Linked DNA regions of Drosophila melanogaster. The gene in region 1 interacts genetically with each later gene. Each region holds a gene or a part of one and is shown on either strand. Other genes may lie near its edges.

Region 1 (4,834 bases):
CGACTTTTAATCGGAAAACAGCTGTTGTTGTTTTGTTTTGATAAAATGCAACCAAAACAAAAATAAATAAGCAATCTTGTCTCGTTATTGCAATTATCGAATGCATGCCTTCTCCTGCCACAAATTGCAGGTCCTTCAAGGTTGATTTACAGACAAGGATTACGTACATACATGCATAGTACATCAACAAAAAAGTGCCATTTTCCTGGTTAGTTTTGGGTACTGTGTACCTTAACCAAGGGCAGGCCAAAACTATTGAGGACAAACAGCGCCGCATTTATCGCGCACTATATATAGAATCCGGGGGTGGTCGGTGACATTTTCCCCTCCCATTTTCCACCAATCTACCACCCTCCACCCTCCACTGACGTTTGTAAATCGTATTGCATGCTTTGTTGTTCGCTTTTTGGTCTATTTTTGGATATGACATGTATTGGTGAAATTCTGCACACAAGCGGCCAAAACGTGACAGCAGTAAAAAAAAAAAAAAAAATAATACAGCACAATGATATATAACCGCGAAAAGTAGTCTGAAAGTTCGCAACTCTCATGCTACTTCGATATTTCTAATTAGCGAGTTCTTGACTTCTTCCTAACTAATGTGCGAGTGTATTTAATTAGCTGGCTGTAGAATTTAAGCTGCCGCTACTGTACGAGTATGACCTCAAAAGACCGTGAAATATACATTTATCTACATTCAATTAATTTTGAGAATTTCTATAATTACAACTTGACACATTTATAGATTTGGTTACAGATCACGGAGCAGTGAAAGTTGTAAATTTTAAATAAGTTTAATTTCGGTAATTGTCGAGTAAGCAAATTTATCGCACAACAACAAAAATTAAGAAGATGTTGAAGATGTTCAGAAAGATCCAATAAATTGCACTAAATCAAAATGACCTCAAACAAATTTGCTGGAAGCATTTCAATGAACGAAAGTATTGCCACACATTTCGAGGAATTCAATTGGCTTTCGATTCGATTGTGTGCGTGGGAATATGGAATATTTTAGAACTGGCGGAAAGCAGATAAACCCAGACAACAAAATACAAACAGCTGGAATACAAAATAACCAAGAAGCGTATACGTAATCTCTACACTGAGTTGAGATACATGTAGTAGTACTCTTGATAAGAAAATGGAATTTAATGCAATGCTAGATAGATAGGTATTCAATCTTGAAAAATGTATATCTGTATGATTGAAAGGAACCCTACCAAATTAATCGAGTTTTGTAATCGATGCGTTCAAGTTATGACGTCTTTTCGTATGAGTTTGTTCGGTATATTTTTGATAAAGTCAAACCGGATTTTAAAATTCTTCCCTTGGCTGATACGCTTATCTGCTCGCTCTTTTTTATCACGGATAAATAAAAAGAGAGAATGAAACCGAAAGAGATTCTTTTCTTTCTTTTGTTTGTATTGCCGTGGCCGGGGCACTATCATTGAACTTGTTCAAGGACAAGAGACCCCAAACGGAAATAAAAGGGAGAGAGCACAAGAAATCTGACAAGAGAACCGGTTAAAAAATGGATATCGTTGGGATTTTCAACCACCGGTTGGCGTATAATTGATATTCCTTTGGTGCGTATGGGACAGTTTCAGTTGCCAGGTTCCATTTCTATACCGCTTATACCGCTTTCAATACCAATTGACGCAATTTGCTGATATCGATTAGCAAACAGTGCGATCAAGATAAACACAGGTGGAAAAAATGCGAAAATTCGAGATAACAGCAAATCACAGCCAAACCTTGTTGAGTAACAACTGATTGTAAAATTGAAAGCTATGAACGAAGGCAATCTTTTTGCACTACAACTTTGCTCCGTCCACATTTGTTCAGTATAAAATGCCAACTGATTTGGCTGTTTTGTTCTAAAAAAAACAATTTCTCTCGGCCATGTCTTTTGTTTACTGTTTGCTCTGCCGCTTTGATATGATATAAATCTGCTCGAAATGTCTTCAACAGATTAGATATTAGATTAGAATCTACGTGTATGTACCTAGCAAATGACGTATGAAGATGATAAAAACTGCCAAAAAAAATAAGAGAAATAAACTTTAACTGGTGCAGTGCAAAATAGTTTTGGTCCCGTCCTAGTTCCGTTCGGATGGTAAAACTGGGTCAGCTGACATTTATTTTCAACTGGCGAAGGCAGTTAACCAGGTAACTGGGTCGAATGAAAGTAAAATGCGTGAAGTTACCCATTTATTGAAGTATATGATTGTTGTGTATGATAACAAATGGGACATTACATTACTTTCCTTAACGTTTTTTATGCAAGCACAGCAGAATTTGCAATTCGATTAATTTGATTGCGAAGAAAAGAATATTATTCATAGCAATTACACAGATTTGTTGGTATTTTGAGAAGAATACATTTAAAAAGTTCACATTCATATTTATAAAAAACGTAAACACAATTAGTTTATAACATATTCTAGTTTTACAAGATGACAATTGTTTATAGTTTTTGCACAGACAAATAAAAATGTAACTGGTTGATATATACTAAAAAAAAATTTAAACAAATTCCAGAAACTATTTCTAATGCCAACATGTTTTTTAAGACTATTTTTCGAATAAAACAAACAAAATCCAGTTAGAAATTGTTTAAACGAAAAAAATTGAATGTAAATGCCAACGCACGCACACAAGCACACATACTTTGTGGCTCAGTAGTTGTGCGAGTGTTCGTTGACGTTCGAAACAATTTATGCAACAAAAATGTATTATTTAAAAACTTGCGGCTGTAGCCGATCCCCTGCCGCACTTACCACAATTGCCATACACATTTGAGTATAACTTTTGAAGCTTTTTCGTTGCTTTTCGTGCACGAGAAAATTGAATTCACGTCCACACGCACACACAGACGCACCGCGAGACTCTCACCGACACGAATTCCACGAATGCAATTGGCTGGTGTGTGTTGCCTTTTACGACACAACTATTGCTCTTATTGCAACTGTAAATTGATTGTATCTTTAGCTTAAGTGTTTTTTATTGAATAGGATTGTTAAACTTTGGTTTTTCAGCGACATTAACGCAAAATTCATCTGCAGCTTAACCTCAAATTTCTTTGTGTCTGTCACGCACACACACACACAAACACAGTCAGCACGGGGCGGAACCAATGGTATAAGATGAATCTATCAATTTGACATGAATTAATCGGGCGAAAATAATATCTGTAGTTTCCAGCACGGATTGCACAATTTTTTCTACCGATTTCCAAGAGCAAAGTACTTGTAATCGAAGTAGGCGTTGCGAACAATTCGCTCGTTTGTGTTGGTAGACACGGATGGTGATTATATTCGATAATCTCGAACACTCGATAGAGCCGATAGTATCGAGTGCAATTAAGTGTTAGATAAACATCGATTGCGGGCAGAATCGATACTTTTTTGTAATAATTTAATTACCTATTTTGCAATTGTCTTTTAAAAACAGTTTTTTTTATTTTAAATGTAAGATGTGATTTTAAAGGAAGTTGTACAATATATATACATATATATTTATTTATAAACCGACATAAAATATATAATATTTTCAATATGTCACATACTTTCTTTTCTTATTCATCCAATAAGTCGTCTTATTTTGATTCTTGGTCTGTCCTTCCGAGAATATTCCAATTAAAATTATTCTCTATTGAAAAGAACTACCCTACTATTTACATTCGTAGTATCGCAACAGCAAGCGGCGATCTGAATTAGTCATCTTATCTCTTTCCGACAGAAGTGACGATCAATAGCCCAACGATTTTAAACGCTTTACTTCGAAGAACCTTAAATCGCCAATTTATCCAGAGGGGAATGTCCAAGCGCAAGGCCGAGGACACACAATCCGACAAAATGGCAACGGCCGAGAAAGTAGCACAGGTAATAAGCAACAGCCATAGAAAATAAACAAAAATAGTTTACAAACAATAACAACTATTGTCTGGACAGAACGATTACACCATTGGCCTGGTGGATCCCGTTAAGGATTACCAAAAGCTTATCGAAACACGCGTGCAGGTAGACGAAATCGTGGATGATGATGTCACCAAGGAGAATTTCGATCGAACGGCTGCAGCGGCGCGTGACGTCATCTGGCGGCTGTTATTCGACGAGGCCGGTACCTCGCAATCGAACACAGAGAAGGCCAGCCAATTGCTGGAGGAATACCGTGGTGACGCCTGCTTCTACGACCCGACGCCGTACAACGAATGGATTGTCAAGCTGAGGGATGAGGTTCTAAAGAAGGAACTCCTCGACTTTTGGCGCGATGTGCTGGTGAAGAAGCAACTCGGTCCCTGTTGGTCACGCGACAGTGATCTCTTTGACAGCGACGACACCCCGCCATTGGAGTTCTATGCCCATGCCGGTTGTACCGCTCCATTTGCAGCCAGCTTAAAGGTGCGCGCAGCACTCGAGGAGCAGGCTTCGCTGGATCAGGATGGGCCAGCGACGCCTACAACTCCGGGTGAACTGAGTGCCGATGATGCCGCCGCTCTGTCTGGCGAATTTGAGGCCACCCTGACCAAGGAAAATCCGCTCGAGGAATACCGAACTCTAATGAAGCGCTTTGTTCTGACCAAAATCATCGTTCCGGACAGCGTTCACCAGGCCAGCGTGAAGAAGATAGCGGCAGCCGCCAGGGAGATAATCTGGAAGCTGCTCTTCGATGGCACACCCTCAGCGGAGGATCAAAACAAGGCCGCCGAGCTGCTGCAGGAGTACAAGGGTGATGCTGGTTTCTATGGGCCCGACGACTACAACAGTTGGATTTTCAATCTGAGGGATGAGGTTCTCACCAAAGAGCTTCTCGACTTTTGGCGCGACAAGAT
Region 2 (4,981 bases), about 15 Mb from region 1:
AACTTAGAAATTGTATTTTTTTCAATTTTTCGCCAAAAATCATGATGTTACCCCTTTCCAAAATTTCAAAAATTGGTAAAAAAATTTTTTTTTGATATCATTCAAAAAGTTTTTTGGGTGGTTAGTTTAGGTCAATAGCTATTCAAAACAGTAAGAATTTTGGTTGTGAGACAATTTTAAGCCTAGTTTCGAAAAATGATTGCAATGAAAATGTGGCACTTAAGCTAATACTAACTTTTTGTCATAGAAAAGTCATTATTTTTCGCATAACATTCCAAAAAATGATCGGAGAAAAAAGTGATATGCCTTGTTGAATTCGTAATAAACTTTCCAATCGAACTGCATTCCAACTTAGAAATTGTATTTTTTTCCATTTTTCGCCAAAAATCATGATGTTACCCCTTTCCAAAATTTCAAAATTTGTTAAAAAAAAATTTTTTTATATCATTCAAAAAGTGTTTTGGGTGGTTAGTTTAGGCCATTAGCGACTTAAAACTGTATAAAGTTTGGTGATGGGACAAATTTGAGGCAAAATCTAAGAAAAATCCTATTAATCTCGATATACATTGAAACCGAAAGCATATTATATTTGGCCCAGCTTGGCGAGAATCATTTTATAGGAAACTAGGCCTGCTGCTGACCAATGCGTCTCTGCTCCGTGATCTTAAACTGCAGCAGGACCACGAGGTAGGTGGCCATGAACGAGATGTTGGTCGTGATCAGCTCGCGGTTGATGTTTGCATACCCGTCCAGATTCATGATGGGCGGGTTCTTGTTTATGGCCACAAGCAGCATCTCCACTTCCTTCTGGGTGGCAGCGTCCACGGCAGTCAGGTTGATATTGAGCAGCTTCGTCTGGAAGTCAAGTCCGACCTTTCGGGAGGCGTAGTGCGCCTCGTTGCAGATAATGTACAGCAGACCCATGCAGTAGAACACGATGACGAACAGACCCACCTGGAAATGTCCTAATCAATATGAGTTATTCCCTGCGTGGCAAGCAATCGCACCTCCTTGTAGGTTGCCCCGTGGTCGATGATTTCGCTGATGCTGCCGTAAGTGGCGATGATCGTTGTGAAGAAGATGACTAGACAGTACATGCCGTACATGTTGGAGTAAGCTCGTCCCAGCTGCTGCATCATGTGGCTCAGATCCACCCATAGATGGCGGTACTCAGTGAGTTTTTGGGCGGGCTTCTCGCCCCGGATGGTTGTCTGGATGTTTCAGTTTAGTAATTTTGTAATTGAGCACTGATAATATGTTATTTTACCTGCAGAGCGTCGGAAAGAGCGCGACTTGCAGTTCCGAATGCATTGCAGTTGATGTACCTTTCGGATTTCAGAAAGGAAGTATTGTCTTTGTGGGGATTTTTCATTTGTTTTTGCCATAGGACAGCTACTCACCACAAGCTGCAGAAGCAGTTGAGCATGGCGATGATGGGGTAGTAGGCGAATGTGTACCACAGCCGGAAGTCCGGCTGCAGGAAGTACTGCGACAGGTTGATGGCGATGCTTAGGAGCCAGGAGAAGACGCACAGCGACCAGGTGAGTGGGTAGAGATTCGGAAAGACGATCGGCGAGCCGGTAGTTTTGAAGAACTTATACTGGTAGTTGGTCCACATGTTCTTGAAGATAGCCACCTGGGGACCGTGCCGCCAGCTGGCCACCGGGAGCAGAAAGTTGGTGAAGAGCAGACTGATGAAAATGACATTGTAGATGGCCTCATCGAAGCGCTTGTCCGGGCTGGTGACGAATTTTTTCACGCGCTCACGCAGCACCAGAACAACAATGGTCGTCTGGCAGCTGTAGATGAAGATGGCCCACATGACCTGCTTGGAGCCCCAGGAGTAGCCCGTTCTAGGCAGGTTCTTCTCGGGCGGATTGCGGTGAATGGGCATTACGCCCATTATCTGGAAAAGCACGAGGAGGCTCTTGGTGGTCTGGTAGAAGGAATCGTGCTTGTCCAGTTCCAGCGGATCGTCAACAGTTTCCTGCTTGCGCACGTACACCTCCTCCATGGCATCACCCCGAGCCATCAGCTTCAGTTTCTCCCGATAGCGCACCTCGTCCTCCAGAAACTGGCGTTGGTTGGGATTCAGCATCGGCACTACCTTCGAAGGCGGCGTTAGGCCACGACTCACTGCCCAAAACGACATCGTGCGATCGAGGAAAGTCATACGGCTTCCCAATGACGGACCTTTTATACTCCTCCACGCAGCCTTGCTATTGACTTTCGATTGAAAGACAAACAATGAAAGGGACACGCCCGGGGCGGCGCCCATTTGCTTGCCCTCCATTAAATATGCTTAAGTCCGGGACATCAGCACGAGCCTAGTCGGGCAGCTTTCCTGCACTCAGAAAAAATGGTAGGGAATGCATTGCAAACATGGTTTTAAACCTTCCCATTCTAGCAAGATTATATAGTGCTAATCAAAAGCTGTGTTCATTTTGTGTATTCACACGGCCTCTGATTTTCTCTCAGTGTCCGCTTGTTGTGGTCATTCTGCTGACACCGACCAACGGGTGACCCCAAACAGCAGGGTAGGATGAGGAGGAGGAGGAGGAGGAGGCGGTGGGCAGCTGAGGGCGACCGAACGGAGAAGGTACATAAAATGCGCTTAATTTGCCGGAAATGAAAGTTTAACGATGTGTAAATGCTTACGAATGCCGATAGAGGCTCGCACTAATGACCAATAAAAATGTGCCACCAACGGGACGGACTGCCAGCTCCATCGCCATCGCCATCTTCGCCTTTGTCCCAATCCTTGACCCTGTCCCAGTTCATCTGGTCCGTCGTGTGTGTGGGTCTGACTTTTGATCTATTTCTGCCTCAGATACCAAAAGGCCCGGCATTAATGGCTCTTAAGGCGCTTAAAGCCAGGCGAGAGTGGACAGGAAATCCATGGCAATGACAGCCGTTCTGGACTGCCAATCCCCTCATGCAACTCCACCGGGATAAGCGAGCTACAAATCTTCCCCGAAGAATGTTTGGAATTTGCGAGGCATATTTAAAGAGTTTCACAGCTTTCGGGGGACTCGCAGCCAACTGTTGCGAGTTCGACCCTGCTTTTTGGCCAGAGTTTTCCCTGTTTTGGCAGCGAAACTCATTTTCATTGCACACAGTTTGGCAAACTCAGCTCTTTTAATGCGAAAACTTTCAAGACAAACGACAAGGGGAAGTGCATAAATAAAGTGTTTAGCTGGTTTTTTATGCCCACGAAGTGTGTGCGCCATGTCACATAATTGCACCCAACTTGAGAGGGCGACTGCATGGTCCATTTAAAACGGGCTGGCTTCATCCACCAGGATGCGGCTTAAAGAACTGATGCAGCGCATCCTAGGATTTGTGGGCTCTTGTTGCTGCCGCGTCCCTTTCGAAGGACGTGCCTATTCCAAGTGTCACAGCAGCCGAGCGAATCTCTCATGGCCGCCGGCTGTCAGCCACCAGGCGGCCTCGGCGAACAAGTTACATTTCGATTTCCGAATCCCGTGGCTTGCATTCCTCCCTCTGCCCTTCCACCATCGCCTTGGTCTGCCATCCATCACGGGGCTGCACTGACAGGAAATCCCACTTTATCTGAATGCTTTATTACACTAGTAAAATTTTCGATCCCACAAATACTTAATTTATGTGCTGTTACAGCAAAAAGGGTGTTCAACACAAAACACTTTAGACTCAATTTGATCGCACTATTAATTTAATACTGCTTTTTCCCCTTGAATCAAACGATTTCTCTCTGTAGACGTAATGCAAGTATCTTGTGCGAAATGGTGCTGAGAAAATGTGAGAAAGATTTACTTTTTGCAGAAAAGACTTTTATTAATATCGAGGAAAGCGCGGAAGAGAACAAGCCAAAAATGGATTTTAGATTGGCTGGAGTCCTGCGCCTTAAGCAGGGGATGACTCGGTGCTGGCTTCCGTGGTTGTGCTGGTGCTGGATTCGGTGGTCGTTGAAGTGGTGGTGGTGGTAGTGCTGTTGCTGGGAAGAGTGGCATTTGGAGGCAGTCCCCACGGTCCCCCGGGTCCACCGGGTCCACCAGGACCACCCTGGGGTCCTCCCTGCGGTCCACCCTGGGGTCCTCCCTGAGGACCACCCTGGGGTCCACCTTGAGGTCCACCCTGGGGTCCGCCCTGTGGTCCACCTTGAGGTCCACCCTGAGGTCCACCCTGAGGTCCGCCCTGGGGTCCACCTTGAGCGGCAGCCACGGCAATCAGTGCGAAGAGGGCGATGATGATGAAGGAACGCATCTTATATCTGTCCGTGGAACTGGTGTTTGATACCTATTCACCAGTTCCACAAGCCTTTTATACTCTCACCTCGCCAGTTCCACCGACTTCGTTACCAGATGGTTTTCGGTGACGTCGTCGCCGATCAAATAAACGTCAGGTGTAATTTGGTAAAACCGGAGCCGGACAAAGAGACTTGAGCTGTTCCAAACGCTAGATGGATAGATGAATGAATATCTGTTTTTCCCCAGCGTCACAGACCAGCTGCTGTTGATTCGATTTCAATACTGCCGTCGTCGCTCTTGTCTGCGTTTGTGCTTGTGTTGGCAAACACAAAGTGTTTGTCCAGTCGACTATTTATCACCATAGAACGTGGTTTGGGTGGTTTTTATAGCTAATGGAGTTGTCGCCTTCTGATTCGATTCCATTGGGCTTGCGGCTAATTCATCAGTTCGACCAGCAGCGGATGCGATTTATGAGTTTGCATGGGTCCTTCAAATGCAGGACCAATAAATAAATGTTAATTTAATTTGCATTGGTCGGGGAAAATTGCAAGGTCTGAAATGCGCACTCGAAAGTGCACTTGAATAAATTCGAGCTGTGAAAATAGAGTTAAACTAGTGCATACTTTATGCAATCAACTCAGACAATAGTTTACTCCTTAGTGCAATTAATATAATAAAGAATAGTATACAATATATTTGAAAACTGGCCTAGTTTCAAGTTGAATTTAAATGAATCAAAGCAATCCAGCTTA

Evidence for each region.
Region 2: of PRL-1 (region 1) and Gr21a, changing one suppresses a phenotype caused by changing the other (phenotypic suppression), as found in Drosophila melanogaster (one study listed by BioGRID).

What each region holds. Positions count from the first base shown.
Region 1 is NT_033779.5:16,254,296-16,259,129, forward strand, and holds the start of PRL-1 (PRL-1 phosphatase), read right to left. Parts: upstream 3,312-4,834; 5' UTR 2,781-3,311; intron 1,861-2,780; exon of another isoform or gene 1,755-1,860; intron 1-1,754. Other genes in the region: EndoGI (endonuclease G inhibitor), read left to right, coding at 3,819-3,884, 3,954-4,834. UniProt on the Drosophila melanogaster protein: Probable phosphatase. Inhibits growth possibly by negatively regulating Src64B-induced growth. Regulates central nervous system circuit formation and stabilization of synapse-dense terminal arbors.
Region 2 is NT_033779.5:778,468-783,448, reverse strand, and holds Gr21a (gustatory receptor 21a), read right to left. Parts: upstream 2,968-4,981; 5' UTR 2,153-2,967; coding exon 1,401-2,152; intron 1,326-1,400; coding exon 1,268-1,325; intron 1,212-1,267; coding exon 1,008-1,211; intron 955-1,007; coding exon 625-954; 3' UTR 564-624; downstream 1-563. Other genes in the region: CG13947 (uncharacterized protein), read right to left, coding at 3,886-4,245. UniProt on the Drosophila melanogaster protein: Gustatory and odorant receptor which mediates acceptance or avoidance behavior, depending on its substrates. Gr21a and Gr63a together are sufficient for carbon dioxide detection and avoidance behavior.